Sus scrofa: one gene and its partners. The protein of the gene in region 4 interacts with the protein of the main gene of each other region in a pairwise test. Links are inferred from orthologs where the notes say so. Each region holds a gene or a part of one and is shown on either strand. Other genes may lie near its edges.

The links.
Region 1: the proteins of CARD9 (region 4) and USP15 interact in binary tests that used the Homo sapiens proteins (3 or more experiments, as listed by UniProt). The two-hybrid records come from large-scale screens. The link is inferred for Sus scrofa from reciprocal best matches to the Homo sapiens genes CARD9 and USP15.
Region 2: the proteins of CARD9 (region 4) and MFAP1 interact in binary tests that used the Homo sapiens proteins (3 or more experiments, as listed by UniProt). The two-hybrid records come from large-scale screens. The link is inferred for Sus scrofa from reciprocal best matches to the Homo sapiens genes CARD9 and MFAP1.
Region 3: the proteins of CARD9 (region 4) and PPP1R18 interact in binary tests that used the Homo sapiens proteins (3 or more experiments, as listed by UniProt). The two-hybrid records come from large-scale screens. The link is inferred for Sus scrofa from reciprocal best matches to the Homo sapiens genes CARD9 and PPP1R18.

What each region holds. Positions count from the first base shown.
Region 1 is NC_010447.5:27,061,102-27,066,069, reverse strand, and holds part of USP15 (ubiquitin carboxyl-terminal hydrolase 15), read right to left. Parts: intron 4,366-4,968; coding exon 4,207-4,365; intron 4,128-4,206; coding exon 3,903-4,127; intron 1-3,902. UniProt on the Homo sapiens protein: Hydrolase that removes conjugated ubiquitin from target proteins and regulates various pathways such as the TGF-beta receptor signaling, NF-kappa-B and RNF41/NRDP1-PRKN pathways.
Region 2 is NC_010443.5:127,750,495-127,754,593, forward strand, and holds part of MFAP1 (microfibrillar-associated protein 1), read left to right. Parts: intron 1-1,539; coding exon 1,540-1,699; intron 1,700-4,099. UniProt on the Homo sapiens protein: Involved in pre-mRNA splicing as a component of the spliceosome.
Region 3 is NC_010449.5:23,211,740-23,216,707, forward strand, and holds the end of PPP1R18 (phostensin), read right to left. Parts: intron 2,535-4,968; coding exon 2,324-2,534; intron 956-2,323; coding exon 936-955; 3' UTR 67-935; downstream 1-66.
Region 4 is NW_018084833.1:1,341,551-1,347,206, reverse strand, and holds the start of CARD9 (caspase recruitment domain-containing protein 9), read right to left. Parts: upstream 3,775-5,656; 5' UTR 3,225-3,774; coding exon 2,881-3,224; intron 2,567-2,880; coding exon 2,367-2,566; intron 2,085-2,366; coding exon 1,947-2,084; intron 1,395-1,946; coding exon 1,090-1,394; intron 1,012-1,089; coding exon 832-1,011; intron 747-831; coding exon 603-746; intron 404-602; coding exon 278-403; intron 1-277. UniProt on the Homo sapiens protein: Adapter protein that plays a key role in innate immune response against fungi by forming signaling complexes downstream of C-type lectin receptors.

The sequences.
Region 1 (4,968 bases), on a different chromosome or scaffold from region 4:
TTCTAAAATACAAATCTGACAATATAATCTCTTTACTTAATAACCTTACATGGTTCCCTCATTCTTTAGGATGAAGTCCAAACTTCCTATCTTAGCATTAAGGTTCTTTGTGATCTAGCTTCTGCCTACCGTATTATTTACTTATAGTTTCCATAAGCAGACCATGTTCTCTTTTGCCTCAGCCCTCTCTTGATCTATAATGTTTTATTCCCAACCTTCACGTGCTTAAAACCTAATGATCCCGAGTTTCTGTTGTGGCTCAGTGGTAATGAACCAATGAAGGATGTGGGTTCAATCCCTGGCTTCACTCAATGGGTTAAGGATCTGGAGTTGCTGTGAGCTGTGGTGTGGGTTGCAGATGCAGCTTGGATCCTGCGCTGCTGTGTCTGTGGTGTAGGCTGGAAGCTGCAGGTTCTAATTCGACCCCTAGCCTGGGAACGTTCATATGCTGTGGGTGTGGCCCTAAAAGACACCCCTTTCCCCCAAAATAACCCTAGTCATCCTTCAGGATTTAACACAGGTGTCATCACTGGTTTGAGGTTATTCCTTCTGTATGCTCCTATAGCACCGTCAGAGCACTTTTCACACCATATAAGCTTCTTGAGAACAAGGACTAGGAACACCTTTGTAATTCCAGCACCTTGCAGAGTATGTGAGTCCAATTCCTAACACATGTTTCAGTTCAACTACTAATAAACTTCTATGATTTAAATCAACTTCAGTGACAGGAAAACTCAAGTAGGCTAACCTAGTTAACTTCCTTTTCCTTTTGAGCTGGTTAAAGCATAGTGTTAATGAGGTGATTATTTTGGATTTGAGTTGTTACAGCCTCCAAGTGGAAAAAAAAATCCAATTTCCTATGCTGACCATGGTTCTACTATCCATACATTTTTATTGCTGGTCACCAAAATAGAGGTAAATTAAAGAAATCGACATTGCTGGAAAAATAAATTAAAACCCAAATTATGGGAGAATAACACAAACCTTATGGGCTAATGTGTAACTTGAATTCAATCTGCCTCTATATAATACAGATTATATTACTGGCATGGGAAAGCACTATTTTTGGCAAATGAGTGTAGAGAGACAGTACATTAATTTTTAGATTTTTTACTCATTTTCTAAATACTCCTCTTATTTCCTTATACTTATTGGCATATATTTGTAAAGTTACAAACTAGAGAGGTAAGGGTGTAGTTTAATACTGCTATACTTTCTCTCCTTTAAAAAGAATGTTAACAATCCTATACTTATAAATAAGTGAATAAGTGAGTAAAGGATGTAATTTTAGAAGTATGTTCATATATTCCCTTGGCCAAAAATAAAAGCAGGTGTTTATTAATCCTGCTCATAGATAAAGGCAAGTGCCAGGTCTCTCTTGCTCTCTATAATATCTTCAGCACTACGGGATCAAATACTGACAGGAGGGTAGCAGATTTAATGAGTTCATGAAGGAGACATATTAAACAGACAGCAAAAGCAGTGGGTGAAATCTGCATAACTGGGTACATGACCAGTCTCTACTACACTTATTACTTTGAATGAAAGGACTATATTTTTTATTAATTCCTCATATTCTGGGTAAACTCAAACACTTGATGGTAAACTCAAATATTTCCATTAAATGAATGGTAAGATCATAATTTTGTCCAAAGCATATACCTTTCATGTAGATTTTATGAATAATGCTATGGACTGAATTGTCTTCTCAAAATTCTTATGTGAAGTCTTTTTTTTTTGCCTTGTTGTTGTTGTTGTTGCTATTTCTTGGGCCGCTCCCGCGGCATATGGAGGTTCCCAGGCTAGGGGTTGAATCGGAGCTGTAGCCACCGGCCTACGCCAGAGCCACAGCAACGCGGGATCCGAGCCGCGTCTGCGACCTACACCACAGCTCACGGCAACGCCGGATCGTTAACCCACTGAGCAAGGGCAGGGACCGAACCGGCAACCTCATGGTTCCTAGTCGGATTCGTTAACCACTGCGCCACGACGGGAACTCCTTTATGTGAAGTCTTAATCAATGTGATGATATCTGGAGACGGGGCCTTTGAGAGAGAGTTTAATGAGATCATGAAATTCACATTGCTGGAAAAATAAATTAAAAACCAAATGGGGCCCTCATGATGGGATCAGGACCCTTCTAAGAAGAGACAACAGAGAGCTTGTGCTCAACACTCTCTCTCCCCCTCTCTGCTGTCTGAGGACACAGTAAGGAGGAGGCCATCTGTAAATGAAGGAAGAGAGTCTGTACTAGAAACCGCCACACTGGCATTCTGATCTTAGATTTCCAGCCTCTAGAACAGGAAGAAAACAGATTTCTGTTGTTTAAGTCACTCAGTCTATGGCATTTTGTTACACCAGTCTGTGCAGAATGAAGCAACTAACACACTCTAACAAACTGCGCTTCTATTTAGAACCTTCAACTAGGACCTTTAGTAAACAATCTTCTAAAGCAGGAGCCATGTCTACTTTGTTTACCAGAGCTTTATACTCAGTAGGTGCCTAATACATATTGAATGAACAAAATTTCTAAACACCTCTAAGTCCTGAGGGTTGGACAAAGATTTACAAAGTTTTCAAATTCTTTGAAATCTTCAAAGAATTCATGGTCTAGGGGAGAAAAGTTAAAGTAAACCAAAGGTCATAATAAAACCTGGTAAGTGTTATAATAGAATTTAGGGGAAAAGAAGGAGATAAGAAATACTTTTACTAGGGGGGGTCAAGTGTCAAAAAGGACTGATTGATTAATAAAGGGAGAGAATAGTGTTTTGCTCCCTAAAATGTAAAATAATCCAATTATGACCCTAAGCAATGGAATCAGGCAGACAACTGATACTCTCAACAGTTAAAAGGTAAGAACGTTGGTGAAACAAGTCCCCCCACCTTCTTTAAATAGCCACAGCTACTGCATTATGGAAGTTCCCAGGCTAGGGACTGAATTGGAGTTGCAGCTGGGCCTACACTACAGACACAGCAACACTGGATCAGAGTCACAGCTGTGACCTAAACTGCAGCTTGCAGCAATGCTGGATCCTTAACCTACTGAGGGAGGCCAGGGATTGAATCTGCATCCTCAAAGAGACAGTGTTGGGTCCTTAACCTGCTGAGCCACAAGGGGAATTCCTGAAGCAAGTATTTTTAGTATAACTAAATTTATGTTTCTCTTTCACATTCTTTAGATGCCTAAAAATTACAGGTATTTAAATATTACCATTATTTTATCATATCATGAATCAAAATGTACAGTCCTATTTTCACTTCCATAGCCACTAGGAAAAAAATTACAATTAACATTAAAGAAAGTTCAAGTTGGGAAATAGGGAAAATAACACTACATTATTAATCTTTGTAAGCTAATATTCATACCAACATTGTTAAGTCAAACCACTCTCATTTTTCTTTGATAAGAAAAAGCCTTTGAGAAATTTTTTTCTACATGACAAATAATGATACTCTGCACACTGCTCACCCTTTCAAGATCCTGAAAAGTTGTACTGATTTCCAAAGTATTTATCTTATAAAAATCTCATGCAAAAAAGCTTAGTTTTATCTAATTGTGTTTGAGGCATAAGGACTCATCACAAATTTTTCATAAAAATAACAAATGCCAAGAAAATAATCATTTCTTGGAGTTCCCGTCGTGGCGCAGTGGTAAACGAATCTGACTAGGAACCATGAGGTTGTGGGTTCGATCCCTGGCCTTGCTCAGTGGGTTAAGGATCTGGCGTTGCTGTGAGCTGTGGTGTAGGTGGCAGATGCAGCTCAGATCCTGCATTGCTATGGCTCTGGCGTAGGCTGGTGGCTACAGCTCCAGTTCGACCCCTAGCCTGGGAACCTCCATATGCCATGGGAAGCGGCCCTAGAAAAGGCAAAAAAAAGAAAAGAAAAGAATCATTTCTTACCTGCATAGGTTTGGTAAGTGGATCCATTCTAACTAAATAAACTTCCAAGGTACGTTCTTTTTTCATGGGCAATGGAAGTGTCAGGTAACAAAAAGGATCAAATGTTACTGAAATCTTAGCACATTCAGGACAAACTAAAGTTGATTTAAAAAGGCCATGAAATATATCTACAATGATAGAATCATTTCTTTTTAAATGGTTTTCCCAGGCTTCTTCAGCAACTACCTATAAAGAAAACAGACACATATTACACAGAGGTATCACATTATTATATCAATGGTGACAATAATATGGTTAAATTTACCTTATCTGGCCTTCCATCAGCATCTTTTAATTGTATATATGGTTTTTTCCTAATTCTATTCAAATCCTCATGCAGTCCATCTAATAGGAAAGCTAATAGTTCTTGACAGTCCTGCTGCTGGTATCCAGAGAACTGAGGTGCAAAACGTCCTACCTGAGTCTGTAAGAAAAACAAAACCATAAAATCAGTTCCAGGGACAAGACTGATTACAAAAATATATACTTGACTTTCATTTATAGATTCCATGTTTGTGAATTCAGCTACTTGCTAAAATTTTACTTATAACTCTCAAAATCAACTTGTGGCATTTCTGCAGTCATTTACAGATATGATGATTACATATGGATAAATACATGTAAATAACTGCATACCTAAAAGCATTTTAAAAATGATAAATAGAAAAGAACAGTTGACCTGAGGAGAAAACAAGGAGAAAACACAGTACAGTTTTGTACTAAGGATTGGGAAACACTAAACACTATTAAAATTCCGTAATTTTTTTGAGTCACTGGAAAAAAAAGACAATGCTCTCATTTAGTTTCTGTGTGTAAAGAGAAGATAATCTCATAGAGATAAAAGGAATATCAATGTTCACATATATTTTCCTAGTCTTTACAGCACTGTTTTTTTGGTATTTTTAAATTATAGTTGATTTATAATGTTGTGCCAATTTCTGCTGTACAGCAAGCAAAGTGACCCAGTCATATACATACATTCTTTTTCACTTTCTTGATGTGAAAGAACAACGTCAAATAACAAGAA
Region 2 (4,099 bases), on a different chromosome or scaffold from region 4:
CAACAGGAATTCCAGAGCTTACAGTTTAATACCACTGGTGGGACGGGTTCCTAACAGGTTAGCTCTACTATGAGTTCCCATCTAGCTTTCTTTAGGGTTCTTGCAACTAGGTGAGTTCCCCGTAATTGGAATGTGGCTTATTACAATAAAATCAGGGAGAAGAAACACTTGGGTCAGTGGTTTTCTGTAATAGAGTGCCAGCTGATACTTTCCTGGCCCACAAGTTACTCACTGTGATGAGTTATCTATTGTATAACAACCCAAACCAAAATTAAGTGACTTGGAATGATTATTTCTCACAATTTTGAAGACAGACTATGCAGTTCCCCTGCTGGTTTTACCTGGTTCTCTTAGGCAGTTGAATCCAGCTGGAAAATTAACTGGCTTCACTCATATGTCTGATAGTTGGTGCTAACTATCAGCTAGATGCTTCACTTCTTCTGTAGGCTAGACTGGTTTCCTTTCATAGTGGTTTCGGGGCGGCATTCCAAGAGGGCAGAGGTAGAACTTAGCAGGGTCTTTCAAGGCTGTGAGGGGAAGAATCTGTGGCATTTAAATAATCCACCACCACTCACTGTGTTAGAACAGAGTCATTTCTGAGTTGCATCACCCATGCTTAGACATTACTAGGAATGAGAGGATAATCTCAGATTACACAGGGAAACCCTCAATAGAAACCTCTGTCCTCAGCCTGCAGTTTCGTAAGGTTTTTATCCTGAGCTTCAAGGAGTCCACGTACCCTTTAATACTGTATGAAAAATGATGTGTATGTTTGCATTTCTCTAATAAAAGGGATGTGACTCTCTACCTCCAAAAAAAAAAAAGGTTAAAGGCACTGCAATCTAATTAGTGATGGTTGATCTTTGGTTTGGGACAAGTAAGCACACTACCAAAGAAATATCAAAAAATTCTTAATGTTATTTTGTTCAAAATGTTAATCTTAATGTTATTATGTTCAAAATGTTATTTATTTATTGTCTTTTGTCTTTTTAGGGCCGCACGCGTGGCATATGGAGGTTCCCAAGGTAGGGGTCTAATCGGAGGTACAGCAGCCAGCCTATACCACAGCCACAGCAACGCCAGATCCAAGCCATACCACACCTCACAGCAATGCCGGATCGTTAACCCACTTTGCGAGGCCAGGGGCAGAACCCGCAACCTCATGGTTACTAGTCGGATTTGTTTCCACTGCGCCACAACAGGAACTCCAACACAGTTATTTTAAATTTTGATTTTTCTTTTAAAGCTAAAAAGGCTTTCTCAGGAAGGGAAATTAGTAATGTCATAAAATCAAGCAACAATAGTATATTGGAACCTCAAAAAGGCTGGAATCAATTTTTGGGAGTTTGCAGTACCAGGTTTTGCAAACATAATAAAGACCACCTCACCTTCTTATTTATTGAGCTCCTGATCTTGATTCCTAACAGGTAATGACTGGAGTTAAATAATGCTTAAAAGGAGGTGGGACCGGGTCATGTTCAGGTAAAACTGCGTCTGTCTGAAGCTGGACTGATACTGATAGTTTTGTTCTCTGAACAGGCTTGAGAAGGAGAAAGCAGAAATTGAACGCATGCGAAACCTGACTGAGGAAGAGAGGCGAGCTGAGCTTCGGGCAAATGGCAAAGTCATTACCAACAAAGCTGTTAAGGGCAAATATAAGTTCTTACAGAAGTATTATCACCGGGGTGCCTTCTTCATGGTAAGTGAAAAGAAAATGGGAAAATGGGGTAGTAGGAATAACTCAGAAGCTTTGAATGCTTTTTCCCCGTCAAGAATAAAGTGGCCCTGGGATGTGACCTCCACTTGCCAGTGGTCTGCGTTCTCATTTGCTTTTTGTCTCTGAAGAATATGAAAGCACCAGAGAGAAGCAATGGCAATAGGATTTTAAAAACATCAACTATTCTCTTTTGGCTCCAGCTCTCTGAAGAAGGAAATGATGTAATAGAGGAAATGAGGAACTGACATAGTGATCTATATAGATACTAGACTATTTAGGTCCCCCAAATCACTTAGATATCATTATTCATCGTTGAGTGCGAAATCTTGGTTAGGAGAAAACCATGATCTGCAAAGAGCTTTACATTAACTCCTGTTTGAGTGCAGATGTTTAATTCACTTCATTTTGAGATGGCAAAGTGACTGAGTCTAACTAACCCAGAAAATGGTCAGTTATCTTACATTATGTGTCATGCCATCATCTTTGTTTTTCATAAAAAGGCCAAGGTCAAGATAGCAGGCTGTTAACCCTGTATAAAGTGAAAAGGACTTCTTCCAAACTATTTGGATTAGCACTAGTGATAATTCCTCAATAGAGTTAGCAGGAAAAGGAATGGGAGGATTGATAGCATTTGTTTCTCTAATAGCATGTGGTTTGTTAAATTATTTCCTGATGTTAAAAGACTTGGTATTGGAGTTCCCGTCATGGCTCAGTGGTTAACGAATCCTACTAGGAACCATGAGGTTGCGGGTTCGATCCTTGGCCTTGCTCAGTGGATTAAGGATCCAGCATTGCCTTGAGCTGTGGTGTAGGTCGCAGACACGGCTCAGATCCCATGTTGCTGTGGCTCTGGCGTAGGCTGGTGGCTGCAGCTCCAATTGGACCCCTAGCCTGGGAACCTCCATATGCCACGGGAGTGGCCCTAGAAAAGGCAAAAAGACACACACACAAAAAAAGAGTTGGTATTGAGTTCCCCTTGCAGCTCAGCGGTAATGAACCCAAATAGTATCCATGAGGATTTGTTTTTGATCCCTGGCCTCACTCAGTGGGTTAAGGATCTGGCACTGCCCTGAGCTGCGCTGTAGGTCACAGACGCAGCTCGGATCCAGCGTTGCTGTGGCTGTGGTGTAGGCTGGCAGCTATAGCTCTGATTCAACCCCTAGCCTGGGAACTTCCATATGCTGTGGGTACAGCCCTAAAAAGACAAAAAAAAAAAAAAAAAAAAAAAAAAAGTTTGAATCAAAAAGTAGACTAGCTTTTCAAATTTTGTATAGAAAACCTTAAATATCCCTACTGCAGATACCAGTAAAATTTTTAAATTTCAGCGGAGGAGGCCTTACTTCCATCTCTTCAAAATCAGTTTCACTCTATCTGATTAGCAGGAAATATTTGCTTATTATATAGTTTTCTAGCCTATGTGGTTTTCTAGATAGGAGTCAGTGGATTATGGATTATTTCTTGTACTACTTCAGAGTTGTAAAATATTGCTTAAGCATTTCAGCTCCTTTAATAATCAAGCTTCCTAGAGAAATAGTGCATTGCTGACTAAGCTACATTAGGAAGGCTGTATGTGAAAGTCTTTTTGGTGCAGATACTCACATATCAAAAGGATGACATCAGGAGATGACATTTAAGATGTATAGACTTTATTTTTTATTTTTTTGCTTTTTAGGGTCACACCTGTGGCATATGGAGGTTGCCAGGCTAGGGGTCGATCGGAGCTATAGCTGCTGGCCTACGCCACAGCCACAGTAATGCCATCTGCGACCTACTCCACAGCTCACGGCAACGCCAGATCCTTAACCCACTGAGCAGGGCCAGGGATGGAACCCACAACCTCATGGTTCCTGGTCGGATTCATTTCTGCTATGCCTTGACAAGAACTCCAAGATGCATAGGCTTTTTGACATTCAGTGGTAGGAAGACATTCCAGGTGAAGGAACCAGAAGGAATGGAGACAGAAAGTAACATCTGTAAAGGCAAGAAGAGGTAGATTAAGGCTTGACTACTACACAGAGTAATTGTGCTTATTTATTTAGTAGAGAACCATTGAAAGTTTTTGAGCAGGACAGAGGTATAATGAGTTGTATTTTTCCAGGAGTTCCTGTCGTGGTGCAGCAGAAACAAATCTGACTAGGAACCATGAGGGCTAAGGGTCTGTCGTTGCCATGAGCCGTGGCGTAGGTTGCAGACACAGCTGGGATCTGGCATTGCTGTGGCTCTGGCATAGGCTAGCAGCTACAGCTCCAATTCAGCCTAGCCTGGGAACCTCCATATGCCACAGATGTGGCCGCAAAAAAAAAAAAAAAAAAAAAAGAACAGAATTAATCCAGTGGGATGTGTAAAATTGATTGCAGGGAAAAAGTAAAAACCTAGGTAACA
Region 3 (4,968 bases), on a different chromosome or scaffold from region 4:
TTTCCACTGCACCATGACGGGAACTCCGCATATGCTTTTTCTAAAGAAAGAGAAGTAGCGGGAGAGTCGGAGAGAGCTCCATTTTATTATGGAAAGTTAAAAAACAAACAAAAACAAAACAAAACAAAAATAGGCAATGGAGAAGGAAGGAGAAACGGGAAGAGAGTTGAGGTGCCTCATGATCCACCCCACACCCTCGCAATTCAATTCACTCGTGAACCACTAGGAGGAACAGAATTAAATAACTGGGGTGGGGGTGGGGAGGATACAGAGTTAAGGTTCCCAGCATTCCCTCTTGGGGAAAACTGAGACACAGTAATACTGAGCAAAAGTGGAGGAAGCCATACCCCACGGAGGTGACAGCAGGGGGCAGAGGAGAAGATTCCACAGGGCCCTCCGAGGAGGCGTGGCTTGTAAACCTGGGACTTTGGCAGGTGGGCGCTGGGGGCTGATGGGGTTTGTAAACCAGGTTGTGGTCCAGAGAGGAGGCAGGGGCAGTAAACAAAGGGGGCAATAACCTAAGGAACAGTAAGGAGGCCAGGCCCTCTCTGGGAATGGAGTGGAGGCCCGGACTCCCAGGGAGGTGGGTGCTTAAATCCGGAGACCCCAAGAGGGTGGGGGGAGTCTGTGAAGAGACTGTACCCTGCCCGGGAGATGGAGAGGGTGCTGCCTCCCCACCCCAGTGAGCTCTCTACTCCTCCCCAGGACATGAAGGGGGACTTTGGATCACCTCGGATGCACCAGCACATCTGCCCAGGGTGGAAACTGAGCGGTTGCCTCTGCCCCCAGAAACAGGATGAGGAAAGCGAGTTGGAAGATGTTAGTTGCCCTTCCCTGCCAGGCTCATTTTCAGGGTCTGTCTGCTCTGAATCTTCTGGGCTCCAGGATCTTCAGTTCTGGGAAGGAGGGAGGTACAGGCCTGCGTTGGAAGAGGGTCACCTCCGGCAAGACTCGTCTGTGGAGAGGAGGCAATAAGGACAGAGAATGAGTGAAGGTCTCAGTCCCCACCCACTCCCCATACTGAAGGCCAGCTGTTACATAGGAAATCACACAGTATTCTCCAAATCACAGGGCTTGTTCCTACCAGGAAGAGCACCCCTCACTCATTTAGCCTAGCTTCTGTGCCAGCCATCCTCATAACTTGTTTAATCTCACAGTGACCGCAGGAGAGTCGATGTCCAGCCATAGTTCATAGGTATGTCAGTTCCTGTCGTAGTGCAGAGGAAAGGAATCTGACTAGGAACCATGAGGTCAAGGTTGTTCCTGGCCTTGCTCAGTGGGTTAAGGATCTGGCATTGCCGTGAGCTGTGGTGTAGGTTGAAGATTCGGCTTGGATCCTGCATTGCTGTGGCTGTGGTGTAGGCAGGCAGCTGTAGCTCCGATGAGACCCCTAGCCCGGGAAACTCCATAGGCCGCGGATGTGGCCCTAAAAAGCAAAAAAACAAAAACAAAAAACAAAAAACAAAACTTAACCCTCTCAACAACTGCAGGGGGAAGGTTTTTGTTTGTTTTTGTCTTTTTAAGGCTGCATCTGCAGGATATGGAGGTTCCCAGGCTAGGGGTCGAATCTGAACTACAGCTGCCGGCCTACACCACAGTGACAGCAATGCCAGATGCGAGCCTCGCCTGTGACCTACACCACAGCTCACAGCAATGCTGGATCCTTAACCCACTGAGTGAGGCCAGGGATCGAACCTGCATCCTCACAGATCCTAATCAGATTCATTTCTGCTGAGCCACAAAAGGAACTCCCAGGAGGCAGTTTTTGTTTGTTTGTTCTTTGTTTTTGTTTTCATTTTTGGCTGCCACACCGCATACAGAGTTCCCGGGCCAGGGATCAGATCCGAGCTGCAGTCGAGACCCAACCCATAGCTGTAGCAACAGCCAGATCCTCAACCCACTGTACAGGGCCAGGGATCGAACATGCGCCCCAGCGCTCCCAAGACACCACCAAAGCCATTGTGCCACAGCGAGAACTCCAAGAGGTAGTTATTATTAACCCCATTTCACAAATAATAAACTGAGGCCAGAGGTGAGGTGATTTCCCTAAGAGACAGGATGGAAATCAAACTTAGGCCTGATCCAACACTTATGTTTTTAACCACACTATAGCGCTCAGCAAGAGTCCTGGAAATCTGGAGACCGCATGTGCGCTTCGTTTACTGGGACCTCAGTTTCCCCATCTGTTAAAGCAGCCAGTTGGGCTAGAAGCCCTGCTGAGCCCCTGGAAGCGCCAGCATTAAATCCTCCCCGTCCTCCTGGGCCGCAGTGCCCTCTCTGAACACCAGGGGGCGCCCTCGGGATGGCAGAGCCTGTTGCTCACCCACTATCAGGGCCTTGGTACGCAGCCCGCCCTGGAGCTCCCGCTGCAGCAGTAGCAGCTCCTCTTCATCCTCTTCGTCGTCGGGTTGGGCCGCTGGGGGGCTGGGGGCACTAGGGGCCTCAGGCTCAGGTCCCAGCTCCTCCAGCACCGAACTCTCGGAGGGGTACTGATACGTGGTCTCCAGGGCTGTCTCGCTGAAGGAGATCTTGAGCTGAGGGGAGAGAAAGCGGGGAGGCGAGGTCAGCCCGGAGATGACGGCAGGGCAGCGGGCGCAGGATGGGGAGTGGGGGCTGGATCTGGGCCCTCTGCTGCCTTTGGCCTCCCCAGTCACTCTGGAAACCAGTTTTCCTTTCAGTACTTGCTCTCTAATCTCAGATTTTCCTTCTTCAGCCATATCGTTTCAAAAACATTGACTTTGGCCTGAGCTTTTGGCAGGGGCCTGGGTGGCAGAAGTGAGTAACACAGGACCAAGGTTCTCACTCTTTAGAGTGTGGGAGGCAGAAAGGTAAAAAGAAATGAAAAGACGTGGAGGTTAGTCCTGTGATCAGAATTGAGTCTTTGGGGAGTTCCTATCATGGCACAGAGGAAACAAATCTGACTAGAACCCATGAGGATGTGGGTTCGATCCCTGGCCTCGCTTAGTGGGTCAGGGACTAGGCGTTGCCATGCCCTTGGTGTAGGTCGCTGTCATGGCTTGGATCCCGCGTTGCTGTGGCTGTGGTGTAGGCTGACAGCTGCAACTCCAATTCAACCCCTAGCCTGGGAACTTCCATATGCTGCAGGTGCAGCCCTTAAAAGCTGACACACAAAACAGAAACGCAAGAATCGAGTCTTTGGGCACCCTGGGAGCAATCAGGACAGCTACCTGGAGGAGGTAAGATTTGTGTCTGCTAGGCAGGAAAGTTCTGACTAGGGAGGGAGTCTTAGGCAAAAGCAAAAGACAGGCACTTTTTTTTCTTTTTTCTTTGTCTGCACCCACTGCATGTGGAAGTTCCTGGGGTAGGAATCGAACCCTTATAACAGCAACAACCCAAGCCCCTGCAGTGAAAATACCAGATCCTTGACCCACTGTGCCACAAGGGAACTCCGAGACAGACACACTGGTTTCCATACTCTCAGCCCCTTGCTGTGAAAGAAACCCAGGACCCCAGACACTAGCTCCTCCCACCCTTACTCCTCTCCTCCAGCTGGAGTGACCACGGGAAAGGGTCTCAGGTCTGAGGGGATAGGAGACTAAGAGACAAGTGCAGAGGAAATGAAACGTTCCCCCAAAACACAGGGAGAAAATGCGTCCCTGAAAGGGGAGGTGACGGGGCAGAGAGGAAAGTCCACGCAAACATGGGATGGGGGTGGAGAGGGCATGAGAGGGGACATGCAGACAGAGGCAAAGGACCAGAGGGGGAATCTGGAAGGGGCAGAAAATCCTTTGTAAACATACTGTCTCGAGAGCAGGCGAGCCCCAGCTGTTCTCACTACCTTTTTACCCTTCCCCTTTGCCCTCCTAAGAAGCTCAGGGGGAAGGGGCAGCGTGGGATTAACTCTGGGAGCCAAAGCGATTAAGGAGACCAACAGAAGGATTCCATGTGAACTGCTCAGAAAGGTCCAGATGATCTACTCAGGCTTTCTCTGGCATCTGTTTGGGAAACTCAGGGCGGGGGCCCTGCATCCCTGAATCTCTGCATGGACTTGGGTATGAAAAGAGAGAAACCAGGATGGTGGCTGGACAGATGGTTGCTAACACCAAGGTCCCCGAGGGAAGCTGGAACTCAGAGACTGTGTGTGTCACTCCTTGGATACAAACGTGGCATTGGCCCCTGTCTCACTGGGAGCAAAAGCCAGAGCCTGGTCACAGGCCAACGGGTGGCCCCAAAGTGACTTTCCCCACTCACTTCTTGGGTATCCTCCTCCACTCCAGCCACATTGGCCTGAATTCCTTCAATCCCATCAAGGGCACGCCTACCTCGGGGCCTTTGCACTGGCTGCTCCCTCTGCCTGGAACACTCTTCCTCCAAATATCCCAATGGCTCCCTCTCTCTGGATCATACTATTATAAAGTTGTCATATTTGCTCCTCCTACCTCCTGGCCCTCCAGGTTCCACTTGTCCCTGCTGTCATTTTTTTAACCACCTCCTAACCTAACCTTCCAGAGAATTTTCTTGTGCCTTCTGTCAATAGAAGTGTGGAAGTTGCTACAGTGGGTAAGGAAGGGCTCAGCCAGATGTCAGATGAGGTCTCAACAGAAGATCAACACTGGGGGAACACGGGGGAGGGGGGCAGTCCAGCCTGTACCCAGTGGGCCCCGGTCTGTGTCTGTGGAACAGCTGGCTGGCAGAATCAAGTGACAAGAACCAGGCCCCTTATATCCCAACTTCCAAAAGGAACCACTTCTACTGCTGACAGTTTTACCTAAACTTCTGGGAACCCCTTTCTGTTTCATTTTATATTGCCTTTTGGGATAACAAGCTGTGTCGTTATTGTCCATTCTGGAAAAGTCCTTTTTTTTTTTTTTTTTTTTTTTGCTCTCTGTCCCTGTGTCTCTCTCTCCCCTCACCCTGCTTCTCTCCCCCCACCCCAACTACTGACTGGGCTTCTCAGGAATGCACAGCCTGCATGGGTGTGGGGGGGGCACGGAGGGGGTGACTCAC
Region 4 (5,656 bases):
AGTACAGCGGAAGGTGGCGCGGGGATTAGCGTCCTCAGCATTCTCAGTTTATTTTTGGCCGCGGCTGCGGGCAGTGCCCGGGCCAGGGACCAAGCCCATGCCGCAGCATCCACCTGAGCCATGGCAGTGGCAACGCTGGGTCTTTAACCTGCTGCCGCGCCACCGGGGAACGTCTCTCCTTCTTCGGCGAGAACCGTGTGTAAAGCGTGACCTGCTTGCGTTGTGTAAAGCCTGTTTGACCGCCGCCTCCCCGGAGGGGCTCTGCCCTGACCGCTACCTGGTCCCGCTCGACGGCGACCTCCTCCATCTGCCGCAGGATGGCCTCGATGCGGTCCTTGTACATCTTGGAGTCCTTCCGAAGGGCCAGGCACTGCAGCTCGAACACCTCCTTCTCCTCCAGGCACTGCGGGGGCGAGACGGCAGCTAACCCCGCCGCCCGCAGCCCCGCCAACCCCGGCCCGGGGCCCGGACCCTGGACCCAGCCTGGGGAGCACGCGCTCGGGGCGGGGCCGGCCGGCCAGCCGGGCCTCGCCTGCAGGAAGGGGCCGGGAGGGACGCAGCGCTGAGAGGCCAGCCCACCTCCCCCACCGCGGGCCGCGTACCCGGGCGCGCTGGGCCTCGGCCTGGCGCAGGTCCTTGCGCAGGGAGAACACGGTGCGGGTCTGCTCCTGGAGGTCCCGCTGCGCCTGCCGCCAGTCCTCCTCCAGCACCTGGATGTAGGGGCTGCTCTGGTCCGGCCGCCCCTCCTGTGGCGCCAAGGGAGAGGGTGGCGGGGCGGCGGGGCTGGAGGCCCCCCGCCCGGCTGCGCTGTGCTCGCCCCGCTGGCCCCACCTGCACGGAGGCCTCCAGGCCCTGCACCCGGGCCTGCAGCAGCGCCTTCTCCTGCTGCAGCTCCCACAGCAGCTCCTGGCTGGGCCGCTGCTCCATGGCGTGCCGGAGCTTCAGCGTGTGCTTGCGCTCCACCGAGCAGTCGTCCTCGGCCTTCATGAGGCTGTGCTTGAGCCGATCGATCTGCGGGGCCGCCCGTCAGCCCAGCCCGGGGGCCCGCCGCCCGCCCGCCGCCCGCCCGGCCGCCCCGCCGCCAGGCACCTCCAGCTGCAGGTCTCGGTTGCGCATGAGCGCGGTGCCCCTCTCCTCGCTCTGACGGGCCAGGCGCAGGGCCAGGTCGTAGTTCTCGTCCTTGCAGCGCTGGAGCTCGCGGCCGCCGGCCTCGCAGGCCTCCTTGAGCCTCTGCGCGCGCTCCTGGTGCTTGCGCAGCAGGCCGTCCTTCACGCGCAGCTCCTTGATGAGGTCGTCCTTGGAGCCCAGCAGCGCCGTCAGGTCCTGCGCCTTCTTCTGCAGCTTCATCACCTCGCTCATCAGCAGCTGCGTCAGGCCGGACTCCCCAGACGCGTCTGCGGACCGGGCCTCATCAGACGGCGCGCCCAGCAGCCCAGCATCTCGCGCGGCTCCAGGACCGGCGGCCCGGGGAGCCCGGCCCAGGGGTCTGGTCCTGACTCACCTGCAGGCCCCGTCCCCAGCCCCTCCCAGGACGGTGCAGCCAGGGGCTCACGTGTCCCTCCCTCTTTGTCCACTTTGGTCATCTTGATTGAGAGGCGAGGGGACACGACTCAGGACCAGGAGAGCGGCACCTCTCCGGCTGCCGCGGCCTCTCGGGAGCAGGGTTTTAGTGGGGTCAGGTGGTCTTCTGGGCAGGGGGGCTCTGAGCCAAGAATCAGCCTGTGCCTCCCCTCCCCCTGCTCCCGCCCTGGAGTTCAGGTCCCCCTTCCCTCCGGCCCCTGCCCCCTCCCCGGGCTGCAGCAGGAGAGCGGGCGGGCGGGCCCCAGGCGGGCGGTATCCTTCCGCCAGAGCGCATGCACGCTTTATCCGTTAGGGGCCCAGGTCAGGGGGGCGCCCCGGCCCCTGAGTCCGGGCCCTGGGTCCCCAGGCCCGGTGCCCTTCCTCACCAATGATGACGGAGAAGACGCGGGTGGGCTCCTTGCCCGTGACCTTCTTGTAGAGCTGCGGGTAGTAGAGCTCCAGGCTCTCGAGGAAGGCCACGTAGCCCTTGTGGCCGGTGCGTTGCAGGATGTCCAGGAGCACGCCTGCAACCCAGATGGGCCTGGCTGGGGGCCGGGGCGGCCGGCGTCCCCAGGCACGCGTGTGGCCCCTCGAGGCCCCGCGGGGTGGCCGCAGAGTGGGTCTGGGCCAGTCCCCATCGGCCACCCACCTCGTGTGGCTCTCCCAGGGGCCTCTGCTGTGCATGGCGGCGCCCCGGCCGCAGGCAGACAGGTTGGTGATGGGGGGGGCGGGGCGGGGGCCGAGCCGGCCAGGCCTCCCGGGGACAGGGACGAGCGTGGGCAGAGCCCGCCGCCCACGGCACTGACCCACTTTCCGCTTGCGGATGACCAGGCTGGGGTCACTGAGCACCTGCTCCTCGTCGTCGGGGCTCAGGACCTTGCACTGGCGCAGGTAGGGCGTGATGCGGGCGGGGTCGATGACGGAGATGAGCTTCACGCGGAAGCCCTCCAGGCCGCTCCAGCACTCGTCCTCGTTCTCGTAGTCGGACATGGTGCGGGCGGGCGCACTGCTCCGAGAGAGGGCCCGTCAACTGGCCCGCCGCCCTGCCCTGCCCTGCCCCCGCCCTCTGGCCGCTCTGGGCTTCCTCTCCCCCGCCCCCGTCACCCTGGGCCCCTGCCCCACGCTACCCCCCCAGCCTGTGCCCAGGGAGAATCCCCCTCCCCGAGCATTGTGGGCGGGCAGGGAGGCTGCCTCCCTCCCTGGAGGTGAGGGGGCAGCAGGAGCTGTTTGGGCCGAGCGCTGGCACAACCTCCCCGGCAGATGAGGGAGGGGTCCCGGTCCACCCCCGGCCAGCCCGCGCCCGGCTGGGGCGCCCCCCACCTGCGGGCGGCAGGCCATGCCACGCGGGACTTCCTCATTCCCCCGCACATCCACTCCCATCCCTTCCTCTGCTTCCTGTGGCTGGTGATGCAACAGTTGCCCAGCTGGCCCGCTCCGGTCAGGCCCAGGGACGTGGTGCCCTCCAGGAAGCGTGACTGAGAGCAGCCCACCGGAGGGCCCTGGGCACATGGGGAGGGCCCAGCTGTGTCGCCCAGGCAGCCCAGGACGCGGCTGCGCGCCTCCTCCAGGCTCTGGGTGCTGGGCACTAGCTGGCCCCGGGCTCTCCCCATCTCCTCGGCCACAGTGCTGAGCACGGGGATGCTGGCTCCCTGACAGGGGACCATCTACGTGGAAGCTGCTCTCTGCTAGCCCTTCCAGCAGCGGGTGGGCAGGGACCACGCTCTGGGGCGGGCTGAGCAGGAGCAGCCATGTGGCCATGCCTCCTCCTGGGGGAGAGGGGTCGGGGGGCACAGAGACCCCGCCTCAACACCTGGGACTGAGCCTGTAACCTGCCTGGGAAACACCGGCTCCCGGGCCACGGGGGCTGGGGCACGGTCCCAGAGGCCGTGGTATCCCAGAGGCCGTGGCTGTGGGTCCCACCGCCCTCGGCCCGCCCGCCTAGCGACAGGCGCGGCGTCCAGAGGAATCACCAGCACCTTGGTGGCCGGTCTCTGGACCTGGCCTGTTGCGGCCTTTCTAGCCTCAAGTCCACAGCACCCACGCCTGACGATGACCTGCTGTGCATTCCACCGAAGCGACCGTGCCAGGTGGCTGCGAGGGGGACGGGGCAGCAGAGGTGAGGCCGTTTGGTGCCCTTCTGGGGTGTTCACGCCAGATCCCTCTCCCTGTCCCAAGAGTCCTGAGCCACCTGGGCTTGCCGCCGCCTTTCCGAAAGGGCACCAGACCAGCCTACCTTGGGGTCCTCCTGAGGCACCTGTGCAGTGGCCGGTCGCCGGCCAGCCTGGGCCGCCAAGCCGGTGTGTGAGCGGTGGGAGCTGCCGCGGCTGCCGGCCAGGGAGGGTGGGGCGGGAGGGAGCGCACTTCCTGGCGTTAACCCCGCAGGGACCATCCCTGCGGCCGCTGCTGATTCGCCCGAGCAGGGCGGCCTGGGGGGCGGGGGAGGGAAGTGGAAGTGGCTCCCCAGGAAGGCTGCCCAGAGCCCTGCCAGCCAGCGCAGGGCTGGCCGCGGGGCCCAGGGCCCGCCCTGGAGGCCCAGCCCTGACCCTGAGGAGTGGGGAGTGCGAGCCAAGGCTTGACAGAGCTCGAGCCCCTGCTGGCCCACTTTGGTCCCAGGAGGGGGCGGTGTGGTGTCCCAAAACAGGGCCCCGGGCACAGGCGCCCCGCAGCACACTGGCCTGCTGTGGCTGGCACGGCCCCGCCCCTCCTGGGACCACCCCTTCTCCACCAGGACACATGACAGTGACAGCAGCCCCCCACCCCAGCACTTCAGAAGGGCTGCAGAAGGCCGGGCAAAGCCTGGAGCCCAGCCCTGGCTGCCAGCTGCACCCTGGCCAGGTTGGGGAATCCCCAGGCCACCGCGCTGCCCGGGGAGCTTTGCCAGTTGAACCGAGCTGCCAGCTTCAGCTCCGCGAAGGGGCTGCGGCTGGACGGGCTGGATGGGAGCCTGGCCGGTGCTCCCGGCTCCCCCTTCCTGAGGAGCTTCCCTCCCGCCTGGCCAGCTCCCTTCCTGTGGGGTCTCACGCCTCAGGCCGTGTGGGGGCTTCTCTGCCTTCTGCCCAGGATGGTCAGCGGGCCACTTCGCAGAAACCTTGGGCGTCCCGGCACAGACCTGGCACTGCTGGGTTGCGTGGTGGCCTGGCCTTCCGGGGAGCTGACATCACCCTCTGGGCATGGGGAGCCCCCTGCGGGAGCCGCGAAAGCCAGGTGGGGACTTGGTGCAGGAGACTGAGCCACCGCCTCCTACATGCCCAGCAGGCAGGCTGGTACCGGGCCCTCAACGACCCAGTTCCCGTGGCTTAGAGCTCAGGCAGACGTCGTGTGCTCTGGGCGAGGCAGCAGCCACAGAGACGTCGGGACCCTCACTCAGCATTTGGAAATTGAACAAGAAAACTTAGCCCACAGGTCAGAGGAGGTCGCGAGAAAAACTGGACTCGGTTAACTGAGTCCCGGGTGCAAAGGGACCCCCCGCCCCTGCCAGGGGGCGTCAGCCTGCGGCCTGTGTGACGCGTCACACCTGGGTGCAGGGGGCCCCGGTGACTGCCGTATGCGGGAGCAGGGGCAGGACGCGCTGGGCACCCTTGTCTCGTTTCGTGTGTAGGAAATTTCCAGAGTGAAAAGGACGCAGCTGGGAAGGAGGACGAGGCTCCCAGAAGTCAGTGCCTGGGAGGGTGTGACGCGCCCGAAGCTGAGCTCCTTGGGACACAGGGGACAGAGGGCACAGGGGCTTGGTCTCGTGCCAAAGAAACACCTGCAAGGGGGCACTGGCCAGGGCCGCCGGGCTGCCGCTGGTTCTGGGGACCCACCCAGGCCAGCCCGCGTGGTCTGGTCGGCAGAGGAAGCAGGCCCGCCCGCCCACCCGGCCCTGCGCTGGCGTGTGGACCCAAGGGCCCGCTGGCCAACTCCCAGCAGGCCTGCATACGCCCTGCGGCGGGCTTCTAATTAAAACAGGGCATTTCCAGGAAGGCCGCTGGTGGCCTGGGGTTCAGGATCAGGCCTCATCCCTGCTGTGGACTGGATTTGGTCCCCGGCCCAAAAGCTTCCGCGTGCCATGAGCACAGCCAAAAAAACCCCACAGGACTTCAAAAAAAATTATTTA